Sus scrofa: one gene and its partner. The protein of the gene in region 1 interacts with the protein of each later gene in a pairwise test. Links are inferred from orthologs where the notes say so. Each region holds a gene or a part of one and is shown on either strand. Other genes may lie near its edges. The genes, in order: ZBTB9 and TSR2.

Region 1 (15,900 bases):
CTTTTATCGATTTACTTCCAGCAATACTGGAAGTGGAGGACAAAATGCATTCAGGGTGTGTCCTGGAGTCTGTGTGCAAGCGTGGACCTCTCAGGGTCTGGGGTCTCGGATCTTGCTCCGTCTAGAGGGAACCTCAGCCCCACAGAAGGGCCTTCTTAGCGGCTGTGTGTGTGTGTGTGTGTCTGTGTGTCTGTGTGAGGGAGGGGCTGGAAGTGCGGCTGGAAGGCTCGGCCCACAGAGCCCCTCACAGTGCGGGGTCGTGTGCCCGGCGGGCAGGTGAAGGAGTACGAGGAGGAGATCCACTCACTCAAAGAGCGGCTGCACATGTCCAACCGCAAGCTGGAGGAGTACGAGCGGCGGCTGCTGTCCCAGGAGGAGCAGACCAGCAAAATCCTGATGCAGTATCAGGCCCGGCTGGAGCAGAGCGAGAAGAGGCTCAGGCAGCAGCAGGTGGAAAAGGACTCGCAGATCAAGAGCATCATTGGCAGGTGAGGGGCGGCCCGGGGAGGGTGGCCAGGGAAAGCCTGAGGCCTCAAGGGGGCCAGCGAGCTCCCCCTGCAGCACTCCACTCAGGACACCAGGAAGAAAGCCCACCACCCCCTCCTGGGCTGCCCCAAGCCCTGGCCCCAGCTAGAGAGGTTGCCTTGCTTAGTACACTAAACGTCCCTTTGCTGAACCCTGCCCTCTCTCCCATAGAGTGACGTCTGAAGCCCTTGGACAGTGTACCCCTTACTGTCCAGCCGTCACTGTGTGTCTGGACCCGGCCTAGGCTGGGACTCTCCACTGGTTGTTCTCAAGCCAACCTGTGATGCTTTCGCCAAACCTAAGCAGGGGTCCCCCGCTGGGCACACCCTCCCTCTCTGACCTTGAAAGAGTGATCCATTAGAAAGTGGATACATTTGGTTTAGCCTGCGCACAATTTCAACTGCTCTGCTGAGGCCTGGGCTCCAAAGGAGGCGTCTCAACAAGGACACCTCCGTATCCTGAGAACTGAGTGGGACCCAGGGGCCCCACTCTAGCCAGCGCCAGCTCCATCTCTATCCATTCTACATGTATTTGGGGAGTTCCCGTGGCGGCTCAGCAGGTTACAGACCCGACAAGTATTCTTGTGGATACAGGCTCCATCCCTGTATGGATCAGGGGTTAAGAATCTGGGGTTGCTGTGAGCCGTGGTGTAGATCAGCGGCTGCGGCTCCAAAGACACCTAGTCTGGGAACTTCCGTATGCTGCAGATGTGGCTCTAAAAAGCAAAACCAAACAGAAAATGTATTTTTGAGTAATGTTAATGAGAAAAAGGCTTGACCTGAAACTTTTTTGAAAACCGTTGCTCCGACAGCCTTTATGAGAAGGGTTGCTCAAAAACAGGCAGACACTGAGAGTGATGACTGCAAAGACTTCCCTTGGCGAGAGCATCCAGGGCTGCCCTGGAGATGGGCTGGGCTGGGTTCGGTGGCTTGGGGGTGGGGGGCATAGCAGCTTGTGGGGAGCAAGGTCCTAATAGGGGCGAGGAGTGCCCAAATGTCCAGCAGGAGAGGTCTTTGAGGCACAGAAGCCCATCCCTAGCAGGGCCATAAGCGTCCCTGGAGGAAGGTGAATGGCAGGGTGTCTTTGGGGAACTGCGTGGAGGAGGCGGCCGGGGGCTTCTCGGTACCAGGAGCCGCAAAGGCAGGCTCCCGGCGTGCCCGCCACTAACCCCACTGAAGCCCGTCCCTTCAGGCTGATGCTGGTGGAGGAGGAGCTGCGCCGGGACCACCCTGCCATGGCTGAGCCGCTGCCCGAACCCAAGAAGAGGCTGCTCGACGCTCAGGTGGAAATTACAATGTCATTTATCTTCTCCGTGTCCCATCCCCATCCATCCCACTGTCCTTTGTGCTGTCACTGCACTGCCACCCCAGCCCCATGGCCATCTGTCTCTCCGTCGTCCTCTGTCTGTCCACCCGCGGCCCCATCTCCATCCCACGGTCTGTGCCTTTGTCACTCCCAGCAGCGTCAGCCCCACCCGATCTTTCCCACCCCAGCTGCGTTTCAGGGCCTCCCAGCAGAACCTCAGTCTCTGCCCTCTGAGCCCGCCCCTTTCCTGGGAGCCTGCGCGTCTGGGCCCGCTCCTGGTCCAGTTGGGGCTCTCCTGGGGCCAGAGGGCCGAGGCTGCAGTTTGCTGGCACGGGGCACAGGCAGTGCGAGGCCTAGTCTCCCCAGGCTCAGGCTCTGGCTGGCACCCTGGGCGCTTGGGGTCCTCTTGGCCCCTAGCTCCTCTCACTCCTGACAGCTCTGCTTAGCTTCCTCCTCCAACTCCTCAGATCCTGAGGGCTCCCCCGGGCACCCCTTCCACCCTCCGTGGTGCAGTCCAGCTTCTTCGGCCTCCTTCCCTCTGTCCTCACACTGGCCAAGCTCTCTGGCCCCTGCTGCCTCCCCTCCACCCCCCCACCAGCCTTGAGGACCTCCCTCCCCCTTCCCCCTTGTTCTCCCCCAGTTCTGCCCACTTGCCCACCCACGTGCCTCTTTCCTCTGACCTCCAGGCTTCCCCGCCACGCCACCAAGGCTCCTGACCCCATGACCCCACTCTCTCCCCCTGCAGCTCCTCATCAGGTAATTCTCCTGGTTCCGCTTTGACCACGGGCGGAGGACACAGGGGGAGGTGACTCCGGACCACTGCAGGTTGGTCATGAAGCCCACTCCCCTCTGACTCTCCGGAGCCTCTCCCCTTCACTGTCGCCCTCACACCGGGAACCTCCGCAGACCCTACCCTCTGACACCACACAGACCCCTCCCTAGGCACTGCCCCCAGCACTGCGCAGTGACACCCGCCGTCCCAGCACCCCAGGCCACACTCCCTGCCCTTGGAGTCTGCCCCAGCCTCCTCTGACTCTCAGTCCTCCTCCTCCTCTCCAGTGTATGTCTGTCACCCCCCATTTCACCAAAGCGTCCTTGGGGCCTGGGCCGTTGGGGTGGGTTTGTTAAGGGGGGGGGTTTGTTAAAGGGGTGGTGGTAATGGGCAGGGGCCCTGGCTGGAGGGCTCTGCTGCCTGCACACCTGCCTGCAGGTAGGTGGGGGTCTCCTCTTCCTCCCCCTCCCCTCAGCTCTTCAGGGAACCTTCCTTCCTTCCCATTCACCTCTGTCCTTGCCTTACACCACGAGGTGGAAGGCTTCTCGGGGCCCCTCCTTGGCCCCACTGGATGTGAATTAGGAGCAGGTAGTTCATCTGGGGTGGCTTTGGAGACCTGGCCAGGATGCTGTTCAGCTGCCGGGACAGTAGGCAGGGCGAGTGGAGCAAGAAGAAGTGAGAAAGGGACCTTGGCGGATGTTAGTGTGGGCTGGCGCAGGCGGCCTGGGAGCTGCCAGTGGGGCCTGGGTCCTCCTAGGTGAGGCCATGGCTGGACAGCTGATTCCTGGGCAGAGGTGGCAGAATAGCAGCTTAAATAAGTGCTCACATCCCTGGCCTGCTGATGTCCCTCACCCACCTCTTTCAGTGGCCTTGCCGGACACAGTCCCACGTAAAAAGCCAGGGACCGGAACCTGTCAGCCACTGATATTGGTCCTGGGATGCTCTCTTTCCCGTGGGCCTGCTCTGCAGTGAGCAGTGGCCCCTCGCACTGTAATTTAACTCTGCCTGCCCAGCCTCTCTGTCAGAGTAGTTAGTGATTGGAAAACAGATGCTATGAGACACCAGGGGACCTCACCATTTAAAGGACTCCTGCAGTGAAGTCTTTTGTTAAGTGAATAATGGCACCCTAATTTATCTCCTTTCTAAATCTGGGTCCCTGGGGGTGTGGGGGGCATGCCTGTGTGCCACTGCCAGCAGACAGGCAGAGAGAAGGGAATGAGAGGTGTCCCCCCCACCCCGCACTCTGCTGCCACACTTGGGGCACCCCATAGCCACACGCATGCAGCTTCCTCTCACCCATGGGGGGGGCGGTGTGAGATACCAGCAAGCCAAGAGGGTGCCCGCTTCAGTCTGGGCTTGTGGGGCCTGCTGAGAGGTGAGCTCTTTGACTTGGAGGGCAAGCTGACTGGGGAGCCTCTGGTTGGAATGTTTTTGCTCTTCTTGACGTTTGGTCCAACCCAGCTAGGCTGCCAGGCTTCAGTGCTCTGTGGCCCAGGAAATAATTAGGACCCTTTTTCTAAACCACTGTCACGTAGTGGTTCCTTGGCCACTCAGTGGTTACTGTAAAAATTAATCTTGTGCCTGTATTTTTAAAAGCCGAAGTGTGGAAGCCATCCACGGTTTTCTCTCCCTCTCTCTGCAGAGAACAGAAGCCAGAGCTGGGGGTGGGAGCCGGCGGCTACCCCAGGGTGGAGGGGGTAGATGGGGCTGGGGCTGGGAGTCGGTTTGGCACCGTCACCCTCAGCCTGGGAGCCCCGGGTGAGGGATGAAAGGACCGTGGAGGTGGAGAGGCATGAGCCTTGTGCTTCTTGGGGGTGCAGGGACCGGGGCCTGCTGTGTCCCGTCCTTTCTGTTCTGCTCCCAGCAGAAGCAACACACCCACGTCATTCCCTTCCCACCTCCCTGCCCTGAGCTCCTGTCTCCGTCCAGTTCAGCCTTTCGTTACATTTGAGAAGATGGCCTCTTGGGATAAATGAGGGGCTGAGTGACAGTGTCTATTTAATGAAATGCATGTCTTCAAAACATATCCAGTGAGTAGAATTGGATGAAGGAGGCCGCGGGGAGCCTGCAGAACCAGTAGCTGGGCTTGAAAGGTCTGCTTCTGGTGGAGGTGAAGCAGCTCCGCCCACAGCCTCATTTCGACCATTCATCTGCTTAGCACACCCTTTCTTCACAGATGAAGGAAAACTCAGGCCCAGTTTTTGTTCAAATTATGAAAGAATTCCAAACCCCGTGGGTTTGGATTAATGAGGTTTTGCTGAACTGCCTCCCCTGTTCCCTGGACGCGAAGTTCCCACCTCAGGTCAGAAGCTTCGAGGCTTAGGTTGGGGGTGAGATGGGAGCCTGCTGGTTTCCTGGTGTGACTCCCTGGGTTGAAGGCCCTGGTTAGGAGTCAGGGGCGAGAGCCTCTTCTCCCCGGCCTCAGGAGATGTAACAGCTCTGCAGGTGAGGACAAACTAGGAGGATGCGGGTGGGGGTGTCCTGGGAGGCGGGGTGGATGTGGCTTAAGGAGTGGGTTGGCTGTGGGGGAGCCACTGCTAGGGGGCTGGCACCCAGGCCCCCGCGAAGCGTCTCAATAAGTCCGCGCTCCACTCTTTGGTGTCTTGCAGGAGAGGCAGCTTCCCCCCTTGGGTCCAGCAAACCCGCGTGTGACGCTGGCACCCCCTTGGAACGGCCTGGCCCCCCCAGCCCCGCCCCCCCACCCCGGCTGCAGATCACCGAGAACGGCGAGTTCCGAAACACCGCAGAACACTAGCCCACCCAGCATCACAGGCTCCCCGTGCACCCCACCCTGGAGCAGCACCCACCACCAGGACCGGACGTCGCCGAGGGACCTCGGGATTGCCTCCCTGAAGGGCCCCTGGGGGCACCTGGCCCCACCCCCACTGCACCATCTCCAGGAGGGAGAGCAGGAACCCTTGGCTGCCCCCTTTTCCTTCCTGTTGGGGTGCTGCCCCTTTGACCCCCAGGACACCACCTACCCCATACAGACCCCTTCACTCTGGGGTGCTATCCCCATCCTCTGCCTCAATAGTCCCCTGAGCACTGGGGGACACCCTCGCCCCACCCTGGGGGCGTGGCACCTCCAAACTTTCAACTTCAGGGTGATTTTTTAGCAGTAACCAGAGCTGACAATCTAACTCCCCTCCACCGCCCCATTTTGGCCTCCCCTGTCCCCCTTGTTATGGGGAGGGGACCCCGGGTGAGGGGGCCCTGTTACCCCTTGATTTCTCAGGAGCGTCTGGGGGGGCTCAGCACGCACAAACCCCTTCTCCTCTTCCCACTCTCAAATTTACTTCCTCCCCACCCAGAACCCAGATGGGGTGGAGGGGCCACCGGGGCAGGGAGGGGGCGGCCAGGGGGGAATGGGGGTGGTCTCCCCTTCTTCCCATACCTGATCTGCTCTTGGCTGGTCCCAGAGCGGGGTGAGGGGGCTTATGCCCCCCCCTCCCCCAGTGTGTTGGGTGGGGCACAGTTGAGGTTAGGGTGAGGGGTTAGGGTTTGGGAGGGGGTGTCTGTAGGGGAGAACTCCCCTGGCACACACAGCCCCCCTGCCCCTGCCCCTCTCTGCTTGGTCTCTACTCCCAGGGGGAGGGGGAACTTACTCTAGGAAAAGCCATGTCTCTCTCCCCCAGGGTGGGGGAACCTGTGTTGGAGGAGGGGTGTTGGGGGCCCCCTTCCATGACTCTGTCCCCGGGGGGGAGGCAGGACTGGGCTGGGCTTCCCTCTCATCCTCCCCCCCCTCCCCAATCCCCTTCCTCCTCCCTCCCGCCAGCTCCACAATTTTTCGGTGTTTCTCTGTACATAGCTCTCTGGCGGGATAGGGGAGGTAGGGTGGATGGGGTTTGGGGGGGCTAGGTCACAGGAGGGAAGAGGCCCCTCCTTGGCATCCCCTTTTCCCCGACTGCCGCCCCCTCCCCAGCCTAGTCCCTCACCCCTTCTTGCGTTTGGTATTGAGACTCTTCCCAGACTCCACTCTTCTTTCTTTTGTATGGACAGTTCCCCTTCAGTCCCATCCCCTACACACCTACACCCAGCCGGGGCCAAATTTATACTTATATAAAAGTTGTAAATATGTGAAATTTTATCCCTGTGCCCTTTCCTCGCTTTCCCAACCTCAGATCCTACCCCTGGACTCCCCCTTCCTCTTCTCTTTGGCTGTTGTAATTATCTGGGGTTTGTACTGTACATATCCGGGGTGTGTGTGTGTGGGCTGGGGGCGACCCCTCTGTACAGAGCTTCCTGGCCCCCTGCCCCCCAGACTTTCCTCCCCACCCACACCCTAAGGGTAGGAGATATTCTTCCTACCTGTTTTATTTTGTTTTCTCGTTCTCCCTCCCCACCCCACCCTACCCCCAGACTACTCTATCCCCCACCACTGCCTCTTTTTCTCCACTCCCAGCCCCATTTCCTTTTTTTCTGGAGTGTGTGGTGAAACAAAAATCATGTTTAATAAACGGAGATTGTTCTTTTATCGCTGCGCTGACTTTCCTAGGCCGGGACCTCTAGGAGGACCAGCAGAGCGATAGGATCTGCTTTTTGAAGGGAATGTTGACAGCCTGGGAGCAACTCTATGTCCCTGCGTGGTGCCACAGGCTTCCCCTAGGATATCCCTATCCCAACCAGCGAGGAGACTTACTGTCTGAGGGAGGGGGCTTTGCACTGGCCCAGCTTACCCAGTCCATCTCCCCTCACCACTGCACCACTTAACCCGAGTAAAGAGGTCAAGGAACATAGCATTCCCTTATAAAAGATGCCAAGTATATGTTTACGCACACCTCAAAACAATCACCTAGAAAGGGAAATTTATTTAACTGCTGGTTAGAATGCTCCCGTGCGTAATGGGGAAAAGACTGTGGTTCCTTGGCGGATCTGGGTTCCAACCCCAGGCCCGCCGCTCGCGATTTCCCCCGAGGAGACTCAGGATTGGCAACACCTATCTCGCAGGTGGCCGGGGGCGAGGGTACAAGGTGATGGGGAGCATTCCCTAGCCCATACTGCGGGTGCCACTTGGTCGCGCCCTCTCAGCACCTGCCGGAGGGGGGCGCTACATCTAATTACCGGAAAGGCTCCCGGGTCGCTCACTCCGTCGGGGTGCGCCGTTCTGCGGCTGGGCCTCCAGACCTGCCGTCCGGGTGGAAGCCGCGGTCTCCCACCCTCATCGCCCTCTCCCGTACAACCAATCAGTGCGAGGCTTGTAGATCGGCGCTCCCCGATTGGCTGCAGCTCCGGCCCCGCCCTCTGCGTCGGCGTCCGGCGGGGAGGCGGCGACTTCCGGTCGGGGCGGCGAGGTGGCTGTAGAGGCGCTCGGGACGCCGCGGGGGCCGCGTGTGTAGCGGCGGGGGCGTGGCGGCGGGAACTTGGCCGGCGCTCGTGGTCTCCCCGGCGGCGACCGCCTGGGAGCCGGGCAGTCTGAGCGCACGAGTGGGAGCGAAGCGGCGGGCGGGAGCCGACCCGGCCGGCGATCCCGGCTCGTGGCCGAAGGATTCATCCCCCCCCAGGCCTTGAGGTTAAAGCCGCGGTCGGTGCTTTGGCGTGGAGACTGTTTTGGCTTCCTCTGCGGGGCAGTGCGGGGGCATTCGGGGAGACGCGGTGCCCCCAGCACGGCTCCCGCGACCCTTCTCTCCTTCCTAGCGTCCGTCCCGCGCCGGCCTGCCCCGTCGCCTGTACGCGACCCTCGGAGATCTCTTACCCACGAGGCCATGGCTGCCTCGACGCCTGTGCCTCCCGGGGCCCCCTCCCCCGCCTGCAACCCTGCCCCGCGGACGATCCAGATCGAGTTCCCCCAGCACAGCTCCTTGCTGCTGGAAGCCCTGAACCGCCACCGGCTGGAGGGGAAGTTCTGTGACGTGTCCCTCCTGGTTCAGGGCCGCGAGCTTCGGGCACACAAAGCAGTGCTGGCGGCTGCCTCTCCTTACTTCCATGACAAGCTGCTTTTGGGGGATGCGCCACGGCTCACTCTGCCCAGTGTCATTGAAGCCGATGCCTTCGAGGGGCTGCTGCAGCTCATTTATTCAGGGCGCCTCCGTCTGCCACTGGATGCCCTCCCAGCCCACCTGCTTGTGGCCAGTGGCCTCCAGATGTGGCAGGTAGTAGATCAGTGCTCAGAAATTCTTAAAGAACTGGAGAACTCAGGTGGTGGACTTTCAGCCCGGGCAGCCACCCCTTTCCACGCACTTCTTTCCACCACAGCCTCTCCAGGAGGCTGGTGCATTCGCTCTTCCTCTTTCCAGACCCCAGCGCAGGCTTCGGCTTCTACTGAGAGCCCCGTCGTAGGGGACGGCAGTGAACTGGGAGAGGTGTTGCAGATTCAAGTGGAGGAAGAGGAGGAGGAGGAAGAAGAGGAGGAAGAGGAGGGCCAGAGGTCGGCAGCATCCTCTCAGACTCCGCAGCCTCCAAGAGCATCAGGGAGCTTTCCCCGCCCTCCTGGATCCCACACGCTGCCCACATCCAGTACTCCACGCAGGCTTCCAGAGGGTGACAGCGCTCTGCTGGAGCCTCCTGCCCCTCACACTGCGCTGCCCCCCAAGATATTCTACATTAAGCAGGAACCCTTTGAGCCCAAGGAGGAGATAGTAGGAGGCGGAACGCAATCTGGAGGATCGAAGGAAGAGACCGGAGTGCTTCCTGCAGGGGACGTGGAAGGGAACGGGGAGCTGGGCTTCTTGCTGCCCTCAGGCGCAGGGTCAACATCGGGAGGAGGAGGTCCATCCTGGAAGCCGGTGGATCTTCATGGGAATGAAATCCTGTCGGGGGGTGCGGGCCCTGGGGGAGCAGGGCAGGCTGTGCATGGGCCTGTGAAGCTGGGGGGGGCACCGCCTGCAGATGGAAAGCGCTTTGGCTGTTTGTGTGGGAAGCGGTTTGCGGTGAAGCCGAAGCGTGACCGGCACATCATGCTGACCTTCAGCCTTCGGCCCTTTGGCTGTGGCGTCTGCAACAAGCGCTTCAAGCTGAAGCACCATCTGACGGAGCACATGAAGACCCACGCAGGAGCCTTGCACGCCTGTCCCCACTGCGGCCGTCGGTTCCGAGTGCATGCCTGTTTCCTTCGCCACCGAGACCTGTGCAAGGGCCAGGGCTGGGCCACTGCTCACTGGACGTACAAGTGACTGCTGAGGCTGTGTGCTGACTCCCAGGACAAGGGAGCCCCTGCTGCTGATGGAGCCCCTGCTTATCCTCACTACCCTGGCACCCCAGTCTGGGGTCTCGTTAATCATGCCCAAAGGGTAGATAATTAATGAGCCTCATGGTCTTGGGTGTGGGCGTCAACCTGGCAGATTTGGAAGTTCCAGTTCCTTCTCTCAGCCCGGGTTCTTGCTGACTATCCTACAGGAAAATGGCTTATAGCCATTCGTAAATTGATCACTTGTCCATGCTATGGTTTCATGCAGGAAATCGTATTTCAAAGTAGTTGATCTGATGAGAGAAGAGTTAGAGCAGAAAACCGTAATGGTAAATGTTTCATTCACGCTCTTTTGAGTTAAAGGAGCTGGTCTCCATCCAGAGATACATTTGATTCAGAGTCCTGGTAATTCAGAGACTAAGTGCTAAGCTCTCCTCCCTCATCATTGCGGCAATTATGTGAGTAGAGTTCTTTTGATATCCTCCTTTTGTCGTATCTTTCCATGAGCTCTTTAGATCCTCAATTGTGTTCTCACCAGTAGGAACTTTTCCAACACCTGTCTCTGTACGTTGTAGTTGAGCACTTTAACCAGTCGAGCATTCTGCGGGTCACTTAGAACAGTCTTTAGTGGAGGGCACTCCCTCTACAGTCTGTGCCTCTTCTCTGCCTTTGACCCCCCTGATCACTCAGGTGATCACGGTGACTGGAATGTGACCAGGGGACTCAGGGGGTGGCCCCTGACCATCTCAGGGGTTGCACCACTGCTCTGAACAAGTGGTCACGGTCAGAGGGACTCAGGGCTGAGATGGCGCATGCTGAAAACTAGAGAATAATTGCACAGCGGGACCATAGCCCCTCTCCTTCCGTCCCACCCACACGCGACAGCCCTTGGTGGACAGGTAGAAGGGTAGATATTGGAGTGGGGAGATTGGTGTAGGTGTCTTAATTTCTTCAAATAAACTTTGCCCTGAAATCAAAGCTGACAGTGAACTGAATTGAGTCATTTATGTGGGAGAGACAGTGAGAACAGAGCTGCAAGGACTTGGATGTATTCCTTATGCAGCTGGGTCATGTTGCCAGGGGAAGAATGGGATGGTGTCAGGCTGGTGCAGAGAACACTGTCCTGAACTTGAGTGGGCCAGATTCTCTACCCTGACCTGCCACTGAATAGCCTCTGGTAAGTTGCCTTATTTTGCAGAGTCTGAACTGTTTAATTAGTTCATTAATTGAAAAAAAAATTTTGGCGGGGTGGTAGGTACCTCCTAACTGGTCCTCTGTCTTTTTTTTTTAAAGGGGTGGGTTCGCATATCTCTGCCCAATGTCCCCTGACTTCGTGCATGATGTCTGTGGTTTGGTTATTGTCTGGTTTGTTCACATTTCGTGCGCGACGCTGCACTGGACCCTGAGTTCTACTCCCTTCTCAGTAGCACAGCTAGACAGATAGAGCACAAGCCACTGTGGTGGTCCAGAGCAGACCGAGCAGAGACCTGCTCGGGCTCACCAGAGGGTTCACAGAGAACTCCACTGCCAGAATATGGTGATGGGTGTGGGTGGCGGAACTGGTCAACAGTAGTTGAAGTCACCGTAGAGCCAGGAGTGATGGCCTTTAATCGTGGTCCTCAAAAGTTCTTAGGTATGGAACCTAGAGGGGTTAAAAAAATGTGACTTCATGGCTGAGAAGGTGAATTCTGGCTGGGATCTGTCAGCGGTTCTGAGGAGCCCTGCTGTGGGACCATCCCCGTGGTGAGGACTGACTGCATTGAGAGAGGGGTTGGGGATGAGGGCTGCCAATCTTGGGTCTGCTGCACTGCCACCCACCTGTCATCTTGGCACACGTTCTGCAGGTGACTACATCCAGGGGCCAGGATCCTTGGGTTGCAAGCAATGGCTGACTAGCCTTATCAAAACAGGAATTGGAAGCATGTGGGGTGCACCCAAAGTGGGAGGAATGGCTTGAAGACCAATCTTTGGAAGAATAAGACCTGAGTCATCCAGGGGTTCGAGCAGGAACTCCTGGGGGAGTCTTCAGGTCGTATGTTTTGGGACGATGACCCTGTCGGTCATTTCTTTGTCACTCATCTCAAGATAAAACTTCCCAGGAGAGAACTCAGCCTCAGGTCCACTCTCTGGGCAGAGCACCTTGATCATAAGTTCCACTGAGACACCAAATCTTGAACTCCTCAAGGGACTGAAGTTCAGGGACAGAAGAGTGTGCTGGCCAGCCCACAGGAACAGAAACCCACCCATACAGTCTCCATATATTGCCCATCTTGGGATATGTAAAGCCTCAAATACACCTGGCACTTATTAAGTGTTCAGGTAATACCAAACCTGGAGCTCTTGCTGTGGTGCAGTGGATTAATGATCTGGCTTGTCTCTGGCGTTGCTGGTTCAATCCCTGGCCCAGCACAGTGGGTTAAGGATCTGGCGTTGTCATAGCTGTGGCCTAGATCCCAGATAAGGCTGGGATTCAGTCCCCTGCCTGGGAACTTCCACATGCCTTGGATGCGGCTGAAGATGGGGAAAAAAAAAAAACCTGCCCAACTTCCACCTCTACCCTCCAAACTTAGGGCAGAATTGGGCAGAATTCTCCTTAATCCCCATAGCATTTTATTGCTTCTGTAAAGCCAATTAAAACACTATGTTAGAAGTTTGGGAGTTTTGTGAGTTTTTTGAGGGTTTTTTTGGCTGTACCAGTAGATGCAGAAGTAGGGAACTCCAGAAGTTTGTGGGTTTTTTTAAATTTAAATTATTAGGTATTATAGGAAATCAAGTTCCATGATGCAGGATTTTGGTTTAAACAAATTTAAGCGTGTGCCTCTCTACCTCTCCTTTCCTCCTTATTGTGGAAGAGATGTCCCTTGTCCTGTAAGGCTAGTCCCCTGCCTAGGGCCTCTGCTGGTAATCATCCTCTGTGTCCAAATCTTCACCCTCTGTCTGTGTAGTTTCTCATAAGCATTTAATATGCTCATAGGCTTTGCGAGAATTAACACGTGAAATGCTGAGAACAGTATCTTGCACTCAGTCTATTCAGTAAACGTCAGCAGCTACTATGAGAAAAACATTAGTTCTCCACACCTTTTTAGGAATCATTTCTTTCAGGGAGGGGGTCACATAAAGGGAAAATATTTTCGGGGAGTTCCCGTCATGGCGCAGTGGGTCTGGGGGTCAGGAAAACTGGACATGGAAAACTAAGCGTCATCTGTATTGAAATAGTTTAACTCTGAGTTCCCGTCGTGGCACAGTGGTTAACGAATCCGACTAGGAACCATGAGGTTGCTGTTTCGATCCCTGGCCTTGCTCAGTGGGTTAACGATCTGGCGTTGCCGTGAGCTGTGGTGTAGGTTGCAGATGCGGCTCGGATCCCGTGTTGCTGTGGCTCTGGCGTAGGCCAGCAGCAATAGCTGCGATTCGACCCCTAGCCTGGGAACCTCCATATGCCGTGGGAGTGGCCCCAGGGGAAAAAAAAAAAAATTTCAACTAAAGAGGAAATGAGGCATTCAGCACTCAGGAAGAAATAGATGTTATTTTAATTATTACATTTCTCATAAATGCTAGTGGTTTTCAGGGCTCTTTTTACTGTCTTCTAACTTTATACACCTCTAGGTGGTTTTTATCCACTTTCCTGAGTTAAACCATTTCTTTCTTTTTTTTTTTTTTGTTGATCTTTTTGCCATTTCTTGGGCTGCTCCCACGGCATATGGAGGTTCCCAGGCTAGGGGTCCAATTGGAGCTGCAGCTGCCAGCCTACGCCAGAGCCACAGCAACTCGGGATCCGAGCTGCATCTGCGAGACCCACACCACAGCTCACGGTAACGCTGGATCCTTAACCCACTGAGCAAGGCCAGGGATCGAACCCACAACCTCATGGTTCCTAGTCGGATTCGTTAACTACTGCGCCACGACGGGAACTCATCGTGTTAATAGTTAAATAGCTAAACTATTTCATTGCAGATGATGCTTAGATTTCCATGTCCAGTTTTCCTGATCCCCAGACCCACTTGGATGTCTTCCCTCTTTTTGTTCCTTTGTCAGTAAGTATCTGCTGTGTACCAGTCACTATGAGAGAAGCAGATGGATCACAGGGGCTGGCAACTCTGGATTGCACTTTAAGAGAAGGATGTTTAAACCAGCTATGCAGCTTCTTTGTAGATAAGTCAGATGGGAAAGGAAGTAAGCAAGGCAATAAGGTGGAGAGTAACAGAAAAGGGAGGCGCTGATCTAGGATTCAAAGGAAAAGAAAGAGCAGACATGCAAAGCTGGGCAAAGAAAATGATTCTGGTAATGTGTTCAGCAGATGTAAAGGCCGAGAGAGAGAAAGGTGTTTGATGAGGGCACCCATGGACCCAGAGAGGAACAGGATGTTGTCTTGGTCCATCCCAGCATCTCCAGCAGGATGCCACAGTCTGGGTGGCCTGTAGACAGTAGAAGTTTCTCACGGTTCTGGAGGCTGGAAATTCCAAGATCAAGCACCAGAAGACCCAGTGTCATGAGGACCTGCTTCCTAGTTCTTAGATGTCTCGTCTCCCTGTATCTTAACACATGCAAAGAGAAAGGGGCGCTCCAGCTCTCTTATGAGGGCACTAATCCCATTCGTGAGGTGTTCACCTTCCTGCCTAATCACCCAAACCCACCTCCTCATACCATCACCTTGGTGATTAGGATGTCGACATATGATTTTGGGGGACACATACATTGTTCATTGCAGGTGTGATTAAAGAGGCAGGCTGGGGAGTTCCTGTGGTGGCTCGCGGTAACAAACATGCCTAGCATCCATGAGGGCCCAGAATCAATCCCTGGCCTCACTCAGTGGGTTAAGGATCTGGTGTTGCCGTGAGCGGTGGTGTAGGTCACAGACGTGGCTCAGATCCCACGTTGCTGTGGCTGTGGTGTAGGCAGGCAGCTTCAGCTCTGATTCGACCCCTAGCCTGGGAACCTCCATATGCTGCAAGTGCGGCCCTGAAAAGACAAAAAAAAAAGAAAAAAAAGAGGCAGGTTGGGGCTGGGCTTGCAGATTGTGACAAGGAATTTGGATTTTGTTCTATGCATGTTCTCTCTCTCTCTCTCTCTCTTTTTTTTTTTTTTTTTTTTTGGCTGCATCTGGGGCGTGCAGAAGTTACTAGGCCAGGGATCGAGCCCTTGCCACAGTGGTGACAACGCCAGATTCTTAACCTACTGAGCCACCAGGAAACTCCCTTGATTTTATTTTAAATGCAATGAGAAGCCAGTAAGTTTAAAGTAGGCGTTTCCATTGTGGCGCAGTGGAAATGAATCCGACTAGTATCACGAGGATGCAGGTTCAATCTCTGGCCTTGTTTGGTGGTTTAAGATTCTAGCGTTGTCGTGAGCCATGGTGTAGGTCACAGATGTGGCTGGGATCCAGCGTTGCTGTGGCTGTGGTGTAGGCCGACAGCTACAGCTCCAATTCGACCCCTAGCCTGGGAACTGCCACATGCTGTGGATTTGGCCCTAAAAAGCAAAGCAAAAAAAACCCCAAAAAACAACTTTTAAATTTTGTGGGAAAGTGACAAATCAAGGACGATTCCAGAGTTTGGCTTGAGCAGTTGAGTTAGAGGCTTTTTAATGAGTGGGAGACAGGCATAGAACTTGGGAGTGGGTCAAGATTCTATTTGAATGACCAGAAGCTATCCAGTGGGTAGCTGGGTGTGCTTGACCAGGGGTTGGCAAACTATAAAGGTTCACATAGTTGGAGTTCCCTGGTGGCTCAGCAGGTTAAAGATCCAGGCGTTGTTACCACTGTAGCTGAGGTTCAGTCCCTGGCCTGGAACTTCTGCATGCCACAGGCACAGCCAAAAAAAAAAAAAAAAAAAAGTTCAGAGAGTAAATGCTAGGATTTGCATGCCAAGAAACAACATCAGGGATATTATATAAGTACATAAAAATTAAGGAAAACAAAATTTCCACAGCTTGAATTAATTGACAAAATGCAAAATATAATAATCAAGTATAATAAGTATAATTTCTGTATATGTCTGCTGCTTAATTGGGGCTCAAAGTTAGTGCTTCCTATCTAAAATCAATTGTAAACGTTCATCTGTTAGTACTGATCTATAATGAGATTTTATAACTTCATTTTTGAAAATGGCTTCACTCAGATACTGCCAAATACTGACATCAATCCAAGAGCATATGATTTTAATTGTGCATATTCATC
Region 2 (15,900 bases), on another chromosome or scaffold:
TGTTGAGAATTTTTCACATTTTTTTTTTGTATTTTTGGCCTTCTCTCTTCTTTTGGGGAAATGTTTAGATCACCTGAAAATTTTTTAGTTGGGTTGTTTGGTTTTTTGATATAAAACTGAATGACATGTTTGTATATTTTGGAGATTAATCCCTTATTGGTCACTTCATTTTGGCACATGTTTTGAAAGTTCAGGCATTGGTACCTCAATCTAGGGGCTCAGTGTGGGAGCTTTCTCATGAGGGGTGGGTCTGTTAAGAAGAGCTCATTCTAGGACTCAGCCTGGGGGCTCAGTCTTGACAGTTAATTCTGCTAACATTAGCCTAAAGTTTTCAGGGCAGGAGTTTTATCTGGCAGCCACTGGGGTCCACTTGGGTTGCTCCCTCTTCCATACATGCCTGAGTACTCAGACTAGGGTATTAGTTTAAGGCTGAGAACTTGGAAGTTCATCTGGAAGCATGTTGTCTCCTGATCTCAATCTGTATGCTCATTCTAAAAGTGGAAGTTGTGGTTCTCAATATTGGAAGCTCAGCCTGGAGCAATTAACCTCACAGTCTCATGCCTGGGAGCTTGTGCTAGTTCTGGAAAGCAGACTTAAGATGGGATTAAGTGAATAACAATTTTGTCAGGGGAAATGTCCATGAGATCAAATGGGGTGGGTGCCATGGAAGGCTGGGAGAGCCATTAGAACATATTGCAGTCTAACCCAAATGAAAGAGAGAAGGAGGGAACGTTGAGCGAAGGTGTTCTAGACTTTTGTGCAGTACAAGGGAGGTTTGGCAAGGCTCTCTGCAATTCCTTGTACCAAAGTCACCAAAGTATCCTTGCCATACTCAGTCATTAGCTGGGAGTAACTTGCAAGAAGCATGGTCTCCGTACAAATGAAGGGATGGATTCCAGAACACAGCAACAGGGGTTCTTGATCACTTATGCTCCCTGAGGTTTAAAGTCTATGAGATATATTATCATGGCTACTATGCGGTGCATGCTGGTGGCTCTCTCTGGGGACTCACTCTAGGGCTCATTCTGGGCATGTTATTTGGGGGCTCAGACATTGGGTTTTCAGTCTGAGGGAATCTGTTTGGGATCAGTCCATACTTTCAGTGGTGGGTGTATCTTTGGCCTCAGTGTGTGAGGGCTCTTTCTGGGAGCTCAGCCTGGGCCCACTTCCAAGATATCACCCCCATTCTCCTTCAAGGAGCTACGTTTGGTGTCTTAGTCCTATGACTCTGCCTGGAGGCTCAGTATGGGGAATCTGACTTTGAGGGTTTAATGCTGACAGTTCACTCTTGAGACACTTGAGGATTCAATATGGAAGCTTCAGTTTTCATCTATGATATGGCTGAAACTCTCTCCAAGTGAGTGCCAGGCTCAAGACTCAGTCTAGGTGGCTGCGTCTGGCTAGCTTTGGGAGGCTCAGATACTGGGGGCTAAATCCGGTGTATTTTAGCCTGAGGAGTCATGCCTGGGGTTTCTTGATGTGATGATCTTATCTGGGGATCTCTGTCTGGTTGGCTCTGTCTTAGAACCCAAGCTGGGTCCTAGTCTGAAAATATTCATCCAGAGGCACTCTCTGCATTTACACTTTAGCAGTTCAGTTTGGCAGTTCAGTCCACACTTGTCTGGAGCTCAGTCTGAGGTCTCATGCTGGGGATTAAGTTTTGATTTAGGTTTTGAGAGTTCAGTCTCCGACATATTAATCTGCTCATCTTACTCTGAAGGCTTAAACTAACTGAAGTAGTCCCTCAAGAGTAGGGTCTAGATTAGCTGTATTTAACCTGGCATTTATGGATTTATAAAGTGTCATGCATAGAATTTAGTGTCTGAGCATTTGGATGCTAAAAAAAAAATGTATCTTATTTTCACTACCCTCCACTGAAGCTTGGCATTTCTTTCAATAATGTATGTAGAGGAGTTCCCACTGTGGTTCAGTGGTTAATGAACCCGGCTAGTACCAATGAGGACTCAGGTTCCATCCCTGGCCTCGCTCAGTGGGTTAAGGATCCAGTGTCGCTGTGAGTTGTGGGGTAGGTCTAAGATGGGGCTCCGATCCTGTGTTGCTGTGGCTGTGGCGTAGGCTGGCGGCTGCAGCTCTGGTTGGATCCCTAGCCTGAGAACGTCCATATGCTGCTGGTGCAACCCTAAAAAGACAAAAGACAAAAAAAAAAAATCATGTATGTAGGCAACCAACCACAGTAGTACTGGCAGTACAAAAGACTTTGTCACCAATGTACAGATATTTTTCCTATCAGAGCTCTTAAAATATTGTTTACATTCATAATTAATTTGAAATCATAGTAGTCATTTAACTTGTTAGTAGATCATAATATTTAATGCATTGATAAAGAAACCTAGGAGTTCCCATTGTGGCTCAGTGGTTAACGATTCCGACTAGGAACCATGAGGTTGCGGTTCGATCCCTGGCCTTGCTCAATGGGTTTAGGATCTGACGTTGCCGTGAGCTGTGGTGTACGTTGCAGACTCAGCTCCGATCCCGTGTTGCTGTGGCTCTGACTTAGGCCAGCAGCTACAGCTCTGATTCTACCCCTAGCCTGGGAACCTCCATATGCTGCGGGAGCGGCCCAAGAAATGGCAAAAAGACCAAAAAAAGAAAAGAAACCTATGTTACGATTAATTTTTATAATATTTTGGTAACTATTTTAATATAATTGGTTTCCTTCTGTAATTCTATATTTTATTTTATGCGTTTAAAAACATTATTCCAGGAAGAAATATATTGGCTTCACCAGCTTGCTAGATGGGTTCAAGGCACAGAAAATGTGAAGTCTGTCACTTGGTATACTCAACTTTGGACTTCAGTCTCAAGGCTAATTCTCAGGGTTCTTTCAGAGACCTTGGTTTGTTGGAACTCAGAATTGGGTTCCATGTGTGGGAATTTCTAGCAGGTCTACTGTGATATTGTGATTTATAGTAAGTAATATACATTGTGTCTTCAATCACTTCCTGGCACAGAGCTCCTAAAATCTCCAGAATTTCCTCTGAGTGATAAGAGATGTCTTTTGTTATGTTAATAAAATGACCTTCGGAATTCCCCTAGGTAACCTAAGGGTGAGGGCTGGTTGTCTGTGGAGCTAAATAAAAGATTAGAGGGTTGGCGTTTTCATTTCCACCCCTCCACCTAGAGGAGGGGAGAGAGGCTAGAGTTTGAGTTCAGTCACCAATAGCCAATGGCCTAATCAATCATGCCTCTTTACCAAAGCCTCCATAAAACCTCAAAAGAACAGGTTTTGAGAGCTCCTGGGTTGATGAACACAAAAAGATGCCATGAGAGTGGTACGCTCAGAGGAAGCATCCTTGCCTCTTCTCATGTACTGTGCCCTATGGATATCTTCCATCTGGCTGTTCCTGAATTATATCCTTTTATAATAAACAGATAATCTAGTAATCTTTGAGTTCTGTGAGCGAACCTAGCCAAGTTAATCAAACCCAAAGGAGGGGATTGTTAATGTATTACAATGAGTGCATAATGAGGCTCAAGGTCTAATGGAAATTGAATCTTCCACCATCTTGGACCTGATTGGTTCTAACCAGTTTTTGTGTATCCTCAACAGCTCTGTCATTTTTTTTTAAAGTTCGTGCCCTTCCCCCTTCCCTTCTGTTTCAGTATCAAAATTGAGTTAAATTGTAGGACACCCAGTTGATACTGAAGAATCGCTTGGTGGTGTGGGAAAACTCAACACATATACCCTACAACTGGTGATAAGAATCTTCCCTACTCCAGGTATGTTTGAGGCCCTGGGAACTCACAGGGAAGTGCTTAATCTCAGTTTCTTTATTTGGGCTTCTTTGAACTCAAATTTAAATTGCTGAGTCTGCAGGAATGAATCTCTAGAGCTCTGTAGGAGTTTATGCCTCCTGAGATTATCAGTCTGGGAATGCTTGTAATTATCATCAAACAGCATGTTGTTTCCTGATTCTTTTTCTTTGTATAGATTGTTTCCTCAGCATGAAAGACTTTCTTTCTTTTAGAAACATACCTCTATCCTCAAATACACAAACTCCTCATCCCCTGGGAAAATTCCACTCAAACTTTTAAGTCAGAGGCATTATCTCTGAGAGATTTGCCATAATTCCCAAGGCTGGATCAGAAACCCCCTCTGCTGGACTCCCATAGCTTCCTGTGCTCCTTTCTCCTCTAGCATTGCATAGAGATGGATTTATCACAGAAATAATATAACTAAAAGTTTAAGCCTCTAGTAACTCACACTTACACAAGACACTTCCAAGCCCCTGGTTGTTGAGCATTGTCAATTTGAGACAATTATTGCTGCACAAAAACAAAGTACCATAAAATTTTATAGCTCACATGTAAAAGAAACTAGAGGTTTCCCCAAATTTAACACAATCTTAAATTTTATTCTACTAACAATGAGCTGTGAAGTTGAAACTTTTCTAAACTACAATAATAAAAAATTTTGATCAACTGAATGCAATTGAATTCTTTTTATTCTCTCTTGAAAATGTTATTATAAAATAATTGTCCTATTTATTTACAGGAAGATATCAAAATGTTGGCAGCCAAAAAAAAATAATAAAATAAAAAATAAAGGAAAAATTAGTAGAGAGGTGAGTCAGGCAATTATTTTATTTCTCTAGTTTTGAGGATGTTTGTGGTATTTGTCAGGTTTTTTTAATTGGAATTTGTAGGAATTCCCTAGTGGCTCAGTGGGTTAAGGATCAGCATTGTTAATGCTGTGGCTCTGGTTACTGCTGTGGTGCCAGCTGGATCCCTAGCCTGGGAACTAACACATGTCACAGGCATGTTCCCCCCCCCAAAAAAAATTGGAATTTGTAAATTTAAAAATTTCTTTTATAAATCTAAAGCTATACTTACTTGCACACCTAAATTTGTACTATTTTTCTTAAAGAGGGCTTACAAAATTCTATCTGCCTCAGGCCCTTCAAAGTGTGGATTCACCCTGAGCACTGATCATAATTTTGGTCCTTGCCCTGCTTTAGTTTCAAGTCATTTCAAGACGTCTTCCGATTTTTTTTTCTTTGACCCATTAGTTATTTAGAAGTGTACTAATTCCCACCTATTTGTGAATTTCACAAATGTCTTTCTGTTATTTATTTCTTTTTTATTTTATTTAATCAATCAATTAATTTATTTTTTAGGGCCACACCTACACCATATGGAGGTTCCCCCGCTAGGGGTCGAATTGGAGTTGCAGCTGCAACGCCGTATCCAAACTGTGCCTGAGACCTACACCTTAGCTCACGGCAACGCCAGATCCTTTAACCCACTGAGCGAAGCCAGGGCTTGAAGCCGCATCCTCATGGAGATGAGTCGGGGTCTTAACCCGCTGAGCCACAGATGGAACTCCTAGGATGCATTTCTAAATGCAGACTTTTAGGCTATGCTACCTGAGGTTGCTTCCTCTGTCCTTTATCTTTAATAAGTTCCTCACATCTTTTCTGCGCAATACCCACGGGTCCGGAACTCTCGGCCCCAAGCGTCTTCCACTTCTTGAGTAACCCGGGCGGTGTCATCGATTACTCGACAGACTTTTCTATTGCTCTAGTCTTGCTGCCAGATCAGCGGAAAGGGAGAATCTGCGTTCTCAAGCTTGGCTTCCTACTCCTTCTGCCTGGGCGGTGCTGCGCAGGGATTGGCCTGCTTGGGCGTCACGTGGTCCGCAGCAGGATGATGGCGGGCGCTGCAGAGGAGTCTCTAACGCTTTTCCGGGCTGGCATCCGCGCAGCGTTGGAGGCTTGGCCCGCCTTGCAGGTGAGCGAGGACACAGCTGGAACAAAGGTTAGGGACCGGGCCAGAACAGGAGTTGGCCGGTGAGCTGCCCAAGGCTTAGTTGGTTGGGCGGCGTCAGAAGCGGACCCTTGCGCCACCGCAGGCCGGTTCCTGGGCTGACGTGGTGGGCTCGGGCCTGTGTTCGCAGATCGCTGTGGAGAACGGCTTTGGAGGTGTGCATAGCCAGGAGAAGGCTGAGTGGCTAGGGGGTGCAGTGGAGGAGTATTTCTTCCGCAATGGTGAGTGAATTTAAGGCCCTAGGACTTGTTTAGGGGCGCGGGGAGGAGGGCGGTCTTGGTGAATCTGCACTTCCTCTTGAACAATTGTCTGCTGATACCAGAGTCTGAATCCTGAGTTCGAGTGCCTTAGGGCCATGCCATTGACTCCTTGTATCGCGTTGGATATGTCGTTTTACTCCCCTGAGACTCAGTTTCCTAATTTGTAACATGGATATGAAAGTATCCACCAGCGCTGTCCAAATCGAAATATAATGCCAGTCACATCATGTAATTAAAAATTTTTCAGCAACCACTTTGATATAAAAAGCAGGTGAAATGAATATTGTTCAACTCAATATATCCAAAGTATTTCAACATGTAATCAATATAAAACATTATTAACGAGATGTATTACATTTTTTTTTAGTATTAAGTTTTCAAAATCTGGTGGGTGTTTTGCAGTTTTATCACATCCCAATTTGTCTTGGCCTAGCCACATTTTAAGTGCTCAGTAACCACATTTGATTATTTGGACAGCAGAGATCTACACCTTTGATGTGTCTTGTAGGTTCTATAAGAATAGGGGCCCTTTAGGTGATCTTTTGTGAAGTATGATTTTTTTTAAATTATTCACTTAGTTTTCTTGGCCTTGGAGATGGCATTAGGCAGAGACCTTTCTCTGAAAAAAATTTATTATTTGGTGAGGGATCTAGATAAGTAAATAGGTTTTTACTCACAGGGTGGTAGGTGTTCTAATAAAGATCTCAGGGTGCTTGGGTAATGTGAGACTGAGGAAGAGGCTTCTTTTGGAGATTGTTAGGGTAAGGTGGCTTTTGGGTGAGTTTTAAGGGATGAGAAGGAGTTAACTAGGTGGGAGAGGCAGAGCAACACTCAAAAATAAGTTCTGTGGTATGAGGAGATTATGTGTTATATTTGGAAAGTGGCAGGGAGCTCAGTGTTAGAGTAGGGCTGTATGGTGTGCTTGTGGGGGTGTGGGAGGGGGGAGTGATAGAGAATGAGGCTGGAGGTTGGTTGGGGAGGCCCCTGGAAAAGGGTGAAACATGGAAGGATTTGTGGGCCTTTGATTTTATCCTTTAGGCCAGCATTTGTCAAAAATATATGCTATGGAAGACTAGTTCTTTTTAGGTGTTCAGTGAAGAAACCACTTCTCCAGTCACATGATATAAAAAAAGCTCTTCAGCTCTTAAGAGTCACCATAATCATTATCATATTAAAGGTTCTGATAAGAACCACCAAAAAGAAACTTGTTTACCATGATTTTTCTATGAATAGCTTCCCTTAAAGTCCAGCAGGACAGTTACGTCTTATAAGCAGAATATGAAACACTGCAGTAGGAGATAAAACTTCATGAGCAGGATTTAATAGGATGGGGTTTACTGGCTATAGAAAGTAGCCAGTATGGGGTTCCCGTCGTGGCGCAGTGGTTAACAAATCCGACTAGGAACCATGAGGTTGCGGGTTCGGTCCCTGCCCTTGCTCAGTGGGTTAACAATCCGGCGTTGCCGTGAGCTGTGGTGTAGGTTGCAGACACAGCTCGGATCCCGAGTTGCTGTGGCTCTGGCGTAGGCCAGTGTTTACAGCTCCGATTCGACCCCTAGCCTGGGAACCTCCATATGCCGTGGGAGCGGCCCAAGAAAAGGCAAAAAGACAAAAAAAAAAAAAAAAAAAAGTAGTCAGTATGGAGCTTGGACTGGAGAGGGAACAACTGATGAGAAGACTGTTTCTGTCTTGAAGATGATGAGGCAGTGGCAATAGTTACGGAAAAGAAGGGGTGGATTAGAATCTTGGAAATTGTTTGGCTGTAGAGGAGTGGGGGGGGGCATGAGGCAGGTTTCTGGTTTGAGTCGTTGCGTGGCTCAGATACCTTTTATGGAATAGGAGAACCCTGGAGGATTGAGAAGTAGGTTTGGAAGGTAAGGTGATGAATCTGGCTTTGGGAAAGGAGGGTCTGAGGCACCCTCTAAATAGGTGGAGAGTAGTGTGGATTGGAGACAAATTTGGGGGATATTCGAGTGGTAGGGAAAGCCAAGGAGGCGAATGGAGCTCTCCCAGAGGGAAGAGAGAGCAAGGAGCTTTGTGGAAGACTTTCTTGAGTTATTCTATAATTCAGAAAAAGTAGAGTATAGGACCATAACGTGACTGAAGCCGAGAGAGGAGGGCTCTGCCAAAGTCACATGATAGCATGTTGGTGCCAAGGCTGTGATGATTTCATCTTGAAGTACTCAACGTCCATCTCTTCTTACCTAACCCATTGGTCTCTGGCCTCCTGTTTGGCGAAGCCACAATCGTGAATAATTTCTAGATTTCAAAAACTTCAGCCCTTGTGTGATGGAAATTAACATGGATTATGGGTCTTCCCTGCATTAGGCATTTTTTGGGTGACTCCCTATAACAGACTTTCAATGAGGTTACCATTAGTCTCACTTTGTAGTGGAGAAAACCAAGGCTTGAAGATGAATAAGTAACATGCTCAAGGTCACGTAGAGGGAAGGCTGGTTAAAATAGGCCAGATGAAAGAGGGTGAGTGTGGAAGAGAAGGCTTGGTCGGATGCAGGAGATTGGAAATCAAGTGTTTTATTTGGTGTTTTGTTTTTTCTTTTTTAAAATCATGTTAAAATCTGGAATGTAGAGTACTTCAGCAAATAAAAGGCTTACTTTTGAACCTTTACTAACCAAGCAGATGTGGATCCACTAGGTATGTATTGAAGAGTATTGGGCAAGTGTGATAAAGTTGGCTGGTCTTTGATCAGAGAGCCTTATCCTTTCCTACTTAGCTGACTTGGAGCTAGAGGAGGTGGAGGACTTCCTCGGGGAGCTCATGACGAATGAGTTTGATACGGTTGTGGAAGATGGGAGTCTGCCCCAGGTGAGCATATCTTGGGTACAGTTGCCATTTCCCTGCCTGCAGCCTTTCTTCCCCAACTGTCTGTTTTAAACCAACCCTCTTGGCTGTAACCATTCTTTTCTTGAGTCCTGTGCAAGAACTTTCTATGATTCCTTGTTGCCTAAAGAAAAGTCTAGTTTTCCCTGGCCTTTCAAATCTTGCTTTTCAAATCCTTTCCCAGGCCAGGTACATGCCTGACATGTTTTGGTTAACATCCATGCACCTGCATCAAAGGATTGCCTTCTGTGTTTACATTTTCATCTTTTAAACCCAGTTCTAGGGCCTTCCCCGTTAGGGGGCCCTCCTTCAATGCTTCAGGCAGTTACTGAGCCCTTCATATGTGGTTGCTTCATTAGTGAACTCTTTGGGGAGGAAAGAGCCTCATTCTCTTCCTCCCCACTCTTGTCGCAAACACAGGCTGGTTGTATTGTAGGTTCTTTAGAAAATCCAAGCTGGTTGAATGTTTTCTCGGTAGGTGAGCCAGCAGCTACAGACCATGTTCCGCCACCTCCAGAGGGGTGATAGGGCTGCTCTGAAGGAAATGGCCTCTTTCATCACACAAAGAAAGTGCAAAGTTAGAGCCACTGCACTAACTACAGCCAGAGAGACTGATGAAGATGAGGATGATGCAAACAGCGTGGAGGAGATGGAGGTGAGAGGGATGCCTCTTGGGTGGGGAGATGCAGATATTTTCAGTTTTCTGGCAGATCACCTAGTTCCCCAGGGGAGTGATTGGGTGGTGGTGGTTGTATCATCCAGAGAGGGCAGGAAACTTTCCTAAGGTCATATAGACAGTCCTGGCAGAGCTGGGAGGAGAACCTGGGTTTCCGTCGGCCACAGCTTGGAGATGTTGTGGGGTTTTTGGTTTTTTTTTTTTTTTTTTTTTTCGGTCTTTTTAGGGCCATGGCCATGGCATTATGGAGGTTCCCAGGCTAGGGGTCAAATGGGAGCTCTAGCCACTGGCCTACACCACAGCTGCAGCAACGCAGGAACCGAACCGCGTCTGTGACCTACACCACAGCTCATGGCAACACCAGATCCTTAACCCACTGAATGGGGCCAGGGATCTAACCTACATCCTCGTGGATGCTAGTCAGATTCATTTCCGCTGAGCCACGATGGGAACTCCAGGGAGGTGTTGTATTAAGCTCTCTCCTTTATTTCTCTTCTAGGTTGCAGCTATGAATGATGGGGCAGTTACAGATGGGGTCTGCCCCCAGCCACCAGACTCCCAGACTATTAAGGAAGAGGATATAGTAGAGGATGGCTGGACTATTGTCCGGAGAAAGAAATGAGTGGGGCCAGAAATGGTTTGGGTCCTTATTTGCTAGTTGTTTTGGGACTTGTGTGTAGGGGGGTGTTTTGGAGGGTTATGGACCTCTGGACTGGTTTCCTCATCTCCACCCTCTCCCCATTCCCCTGTACAGCTTCTTCCAGGGGGAGAAGAGCCCTAGGGTCCTTGGTCTTGGGCTGGTGGGATCTGGTTCACCAGGGCCTGGAGTTACTGTCTGAGTGATGAGGGATGCTTTCCCAGCAAAGTGCCTCTTGGGTGCAGTCAGGGTGAAGAAGAAGGGATGAGAGGTGTGGGACTGACTGGAGAAGCTAAATGCTGGTTCATGGCAGGCAAGTGGATTGTAAAGGGAGAGGACCAGGGAGAACCAATATTCCTGCTGGGTCAGGATGTGAATGAAAGTAGCTGTGGTACCTCTCCCTCTTCTCATCCCCCAGTCCTACAGGGCACCTCTGTACCACTGCCCAGAAATTGGAACCTCCCAGGAACACTCCCTTCCTGCAGCCCAGTGTCCAGCCCTGAGTTCCTTCAGGATGACCTTGACAAGGCAACGAGCTTGGGGGACCCAGGCTTTGTTTTCTGTCTCTTCCAACCTCTTTCTGAACTCCTTATCCCATCTAAGTCCCGGGATGAGGCCTAAGACCTCAATGAATAATACCTTACTGTTTAATTTGTGGCTTGACTTGTGAGTAGCCTTGGAATCAGCTTTCTGAGAGCTGAGCTTTAGAGCTCAGCAAGGGAGCAGTTTCTGGGCCCACTCTAGCAGCCTGGTACTTTGGACAAACAGACGAATGGAGCACAGCAGTGTTCTGAAAGTTTCTGTAAGCTTGAAATAAACTGTATTTTTCTTTAAAAAAACAAAACAGAGTATTCATTGTCCTCCCCCCTCCCCCTTTCCCCTGTCCTGCCCGGTGGCCCTGCCATGGGTCTGGACCATAAAATACTGGGTAGCCTTGGGGCCGGGTAGAAGCTAAAAGCTATGGGAGAGGCAGGAGAGGTCTGGTCACCACCCCGCTTAGCATCACATGTGTGAAGATACTGGTTGAGGGGCAGGGGTGGGCCAGGACCATGGGGTCAGTGGCAGAGCTGGCACTTGAATCCAGATCTCCTGCCTCCGGTGCTTTGGGGGGAATTGGGTGGAGGCAGGATCTGTAGGGTATTGAGGGGTTGGGGAAAAATGGCCTAATTCAGGCAGGTCTAGCAACAGCTCCCACACTCCCTGGGGACAGGGTTTAAAAAAAAATTAACATCACTGTAGGAATACTTTTTTAAAAGCCCAGGTTTTGTGAAAAGATGAATTAAAAAGCCCAAGACCCAGCATTCAGGATTGAAAGTGCCCATGATGGGAGTTCAAGTATTGACTGAGCTGGGAGGGAGGGGGCTGGGACCCCAGTTACCCACAAACCCTCTAGGTCTTGTCTCGGGTCTGGGGGGCTTCAGAGGGTTCAGCAGTGGCTCCTGAAGCTGCCACCGGTGCCTCTTCCATCTCCCTGTCCTCAGACAATGTAGGCCCTGGGCAGAACGTGTCCCCACGGCCTGCCCGGCCAAGCACAGCCATCCATCGTCGCTGCAGCTCCTCTGTCTCAGGACTGAAGTACCAGCTCAGGTGGCTCTGGGTGATCTTGAAGACATGCCTTCTGTCAGGCCGTTCCCCAGCCTCAGGAGGCCCCACCTCAAAGCCAATGAGGGGCAGGCTGCGCTGGGCTTTCACATCCTGAGGAACAGGGACAGAGTCAGGGATCACCTTGGGGCTAGGCTCACTGGTTTTGTTTGCATCTGTTAAACCTCTTTTCCTTCCTCTGCTCTAGAACCTTCTGTGGCTTCACTGAGAACAGGAAAATGTCTGAACTGGGGCTACAACGCAGGTTGGTTCAAATACCTGTTTCCTACCACACCCCAAACCAGCTGGGTTAGTCTCATAATGCTTTCAGGCCTTTGGGCTATTGCCCCCATGTGCATATTCTTCACTCCAAATTGGACCAAGCAGTGCCCTGTCTCTATTCCAGCTTTCTCCAGGAAGCTAACCGCCCCCCCAACTCACCCCATTTTTCCCTATAAATGTTGACCCACTCCTTGTCCGTAGCCAATCTTTGTCTCACAAGGGTAGGGATTCTGATTTCCCCTTAGGTTTACCCTATCCTCCAAGGCCAAGGAGAGCAGCCTGGTTTTGCCAGATGGCTGAAAGGACCCAAAGGAGTAGGATGCACACCTGAGGGGCTCCGTAGATGTACAGCACCAAGGGTTCGTTCTCAGGGACCACAAACCATGCCTTGTGCCAGCCTTTCCCGCCCTTCTCCATGTAGTACAGGAAGCTGCAGATGACGCTGTTCTCCGCAGCCACTGAGGCCTGTTTCTGTGTCCAGAGACATGGGTGGCATCAATGTTGATAGGAAGCCTAGCCTGCCTCCTCTTGGCCTCAACACCCCCTCAGCACAGGGATTTCTATTCCCATGTCTCAGAGGAGGATACTGAAGCTTAGGTGACAGGAGTGATCTGCCCATTGTTACCCAGTGAATCAGAGTTGAGATGCAAAGTCAGGCTTGTCTGCTGGACTCAGGCCATGGCTGCTTCCTTAGAAGCAGGGTTGGTAGGAGGGGTGAATAGCTCTCAGCAGGGGCACCTAAATGCCAATCAAGCATTTTTCCATCAGTCCAGTTATTCCTAAAGTTATTTCTGTTATTTACACTTCATCTTTTTTTTTTTTTTTTCATCTTTCAGCCCATCTATTCCCTATACTTAGCGAGAAGCAACCTAGCATTGTGGTTAAGGGGTTGGGTTATGGTGAAGGGGTTGGGTGGGTAAGGCAGTCTGCCTCAGAGTCCCAGACCTAGGTGGACATATATTGACTTGGAAGGAAAGCATATAGGGCTGTCATAAGGATTAAATGAATTACTATATATGTAAAGTGTTTAGAAGAGTGCCTGGCACAGAGTAAGCATTCTTTAAGTGAATAAAATAAATACCTCAATTTAGCTAAAAAACAAAAGCAAAAGTGTATGTATGTGCGCATACGTAGAAAGATAGGAAGCATAAGTGTTAATGGTGGCAAATCTCTGGGTTGAAGGAATTTAAATTATTTTGGTTTATACTGTCTAACTTTCTTCAGTGCACATATCCTACTTTTAATAAGAAAAGGTAATTTGTTTAAAAAAAAAATCCCAGTTTTGCTACTCACTGATGGTGTAACTTGGGCGAATAACCACCTGGGCAGTTTCCTCATTGGTAAGACGGATAGTAATAGCATTGATAGATAAGTTACTATGAAGGTTAAATGTTTAAAGCCCTTAAATAAAAATTTCTCTTTCATTCACTCTTGTACTCATTTTACTCACTCCAGGCCTGGGTCACTTCTCCGGTGGATGCATGTAGTAAGCATTATGGTTTCAGAGATGCCCAGGCCTCTGTCACACTGTATGGGTGGCTGGGGCCCATGTGGTCAGTGTGGGCAGGTTAGTCGGGGGGCCTGGCTCTTACCTCCAGGATGGACCTCCGGCGCTGAGGTGTATGCTGGCTGCAGGCTGGGCTGCTCCCGGGCACACCATGCAAGGCCACGTAGCAGTCAGTGCACACACGGTTGGAACGGTTGTTGTCATAGACGAGGCGGGCCCGAAACTCGGAGCACTTCCCACAAACCACCTGGGGTGGCAAGTGGGCAAGAACAGCCTGATTCCAGTCGGCCTTCCCCTTCAGTGTACCAGCTACCAAAGCGGACTAGCAGCCTTCCCCAACTTAGAGGGTGCCCACTCAGAAGTGGGCCTTTGGGCTGCCAGCCTCTCCCCTCCCTAGCTTTGCCCCTGCCTCCCAACACTCACATGCCCACAGGCCTTGCAGTGGTGCCTGCGTTTGGTGATGGAATTGAAGGGCTCCTGGCAGCGCATGCACATGGTGACTTCCTTTTCCCGGATGGGTGTAGGTGCCCGCTTCCCAAGATCCACGTTCTGTAGAGATGGTCAGGTCTCAGGTCAGAAACAGCTACTCCCCAGCCCTCGCCCCTGCCCCAAGGCTTGGATCATCACTGGGAGGCAGCAGACACATTCAGAAGACCTGCTTTGAGTCCTGGCTCTGCTCTACCTCATCGTGCTCCTAAAAACAAGTTGCTTCTACTTTCTGGGCCTTAGTTTCCACAATGATTTCTCTGTGGCTCTGCCGATAGAAGACTGCGCTTCTGAGGTCATGCATTGCCTCTGTGGTCTTTACTCTCTGGGAAGGGGAGAGGTCCATCTCAAGGTAAGGTGGGGACTTGGAGGCCTGGATGGGGTCCCAGTCCAGGAGTGGGTGGGGACTCTTACCGGAGAGTTGGGGGGTGTGTCTTCATCTTCCCTGTTGGTCGAGTTCAACAGTTTGAAGGTCTCCAGCGTCTGCTCATGCTTTAGGAGGGTGGAGTTGATGGCCTGGGGGTAAGTGTAAGAAATAAGAGGTCAGAATACCTCAAAACCCACCCATTTCCACCCTTACCTCACCTTCCTATAACCTAGCTTGGAGTCAGAAAAGTTGGGTTCCAGGCCCAGCTCTACTTGCTAGGTGTATGACCTTGGGCAAGTCCCTTCCCAAATCCAGGTCTCAGTTCTTATATTTGTAAAATGGGGGAGGGGAATCAGTGGCTGTAAAACCTCAGAAGGCCTTCCTGGCTACTGTCTGGGATTAAGGTTTTATAGGGCTTATCACTGGGGTTATACCCTCAGAGGAGCCGGGTTTCTAAAGGAAGAATTAGTTTCTGTTTAACCCCTGGACCTCAGTTTGCTTATCCGTAAAATGGTAACGGTAAAGGTTTACTGGAAGGCAGGTGTCCAGGCCCATTCTGGTCAGATGCGAATTTCAGGGGAGAGTCCACCACCCGCTAGGAGACCTGTTAATACTCTTCCAGCCCCCTACCACAAAGCCTTCTTGGATGTTACCTGGACCCAGTCTTTCTTCTCCTCCTCAGTCCTTGGGTGGGGAAGGTGGGGTGGGGGGGGAAAGAAAGATGTTGGGTTAGGCAGGCCAACCAAAAGCAATTGGAGTGGTAAAGAGCAGGTGTTTTGGAGTTGGAAAGACCTGAGTTTGACACTATGCTCCTTCACTTACTACTTATGTGACCTTAGGCAAGTCATTTAACCTATCTGAGTTTATTCATTCAATGGTTATTATTACTTTCTACACACCTGGGAATTTGGGTCTCATGGTCTGGGGGAGATAGACAGGGACAATACAGGGTGATCAGTACTGTGACAGAGGGAAAATAGGGCTGAGGAGCCCAGAAGAGGAGACCTGTCCCATTCTGGAGTTTGGGTAGGGGCTGCTAAGGAAGGTTTCCTCAAGGAGGTGCTGTGCCTCAGGTAGAGGGGTAAGGGTGAGGCATGTGAATAAGGGTACGGAATATACAAGAAACCATAAATAAATCCTATTGCTGGATTATCAAGTTCGAGAAAAGAGGGAAGTTCATTTTTCTTCACTTGTTAAATGGATATGGTAAGTTTCAGTCTGGGTTGTTCTGAGCAGTAACTTAGGTGATGTGTAAACTGCTCAGCTCGGTCCTCAATCAGTGTGAGGTTCGGCTTCCCTTCGCCCTCCTCAACTCTCCTATCTGTCCTGCAGTCTCCAAGGCCGGGTGCAGTCCCGTCAACTTCTCACTAGGAGTAGGATGCAGCCTCTGGTCTGACTCCAGCCTGGCTTCTTCTAATCTCCTTCCAATCTATACTCCAGACATCAAGAGTCTTTTTCAAATATGAAAAAGATTC

What was found.
Region 2: the proteins of ZBTB9 (region 1) and TSR2 interact in binary tests that used the Homo sapiens proteins (3 or more experiments, as listed by UniProt). The two-hybrid records come from large-scale screens. The link is inferred for Sus scrofa from reciprocal best matches to the Homo sapiens genes ZBTB9 and TSR2.

The regions. Positions count from the first base shown.
Region 1 is NC_010449.5:29,746,861-29,762,760, forward strand, and holds ZBTB9 (zinc finger and BTB domain-containing protein 9), read left to right. Parts: upstream 1-7,868; 5' UTR 7,869-8,304; coding exon 8,305-9,711; 3' UTR 9,712-10,708; downstream 10,709-15,900. UniProt on the Homo sapiens protein: May be involved in transcriptional regulation.
Region 2 is NC_010461.5:47,181,420-47,197,319, forward strand, and holds TSR2 (pre-rRNA-processing protein TSR2 homolog), read left to right. Parts: upstream 1-5,190; 5' UTR 5,191-5,667; coding exon 5,668-5,751; intron 5,752-5,917; coding exon 5,918-6,008; intron 6,009-8,782; coding exon 8,783-8,874; intron 8,875-9,367; coding exon 9,368-9,544; intron 9,545-10,064; coding exon 10,065-10,187; 3' UTR 10,188-11,046; downstream 11,047-15,900. Other genes in the region: FGD1 (FYVE, RhoGEF and PH domain-containing protein 1), read right to left, coding at 11,592-11,897, 12,393-12,536, 13,658-13,819, 13,996-14,121, 14,473-14,574, 15,079-15,109. UniProt on the Homo sapiens protein: May be involved in 20S pre-rRNA processing.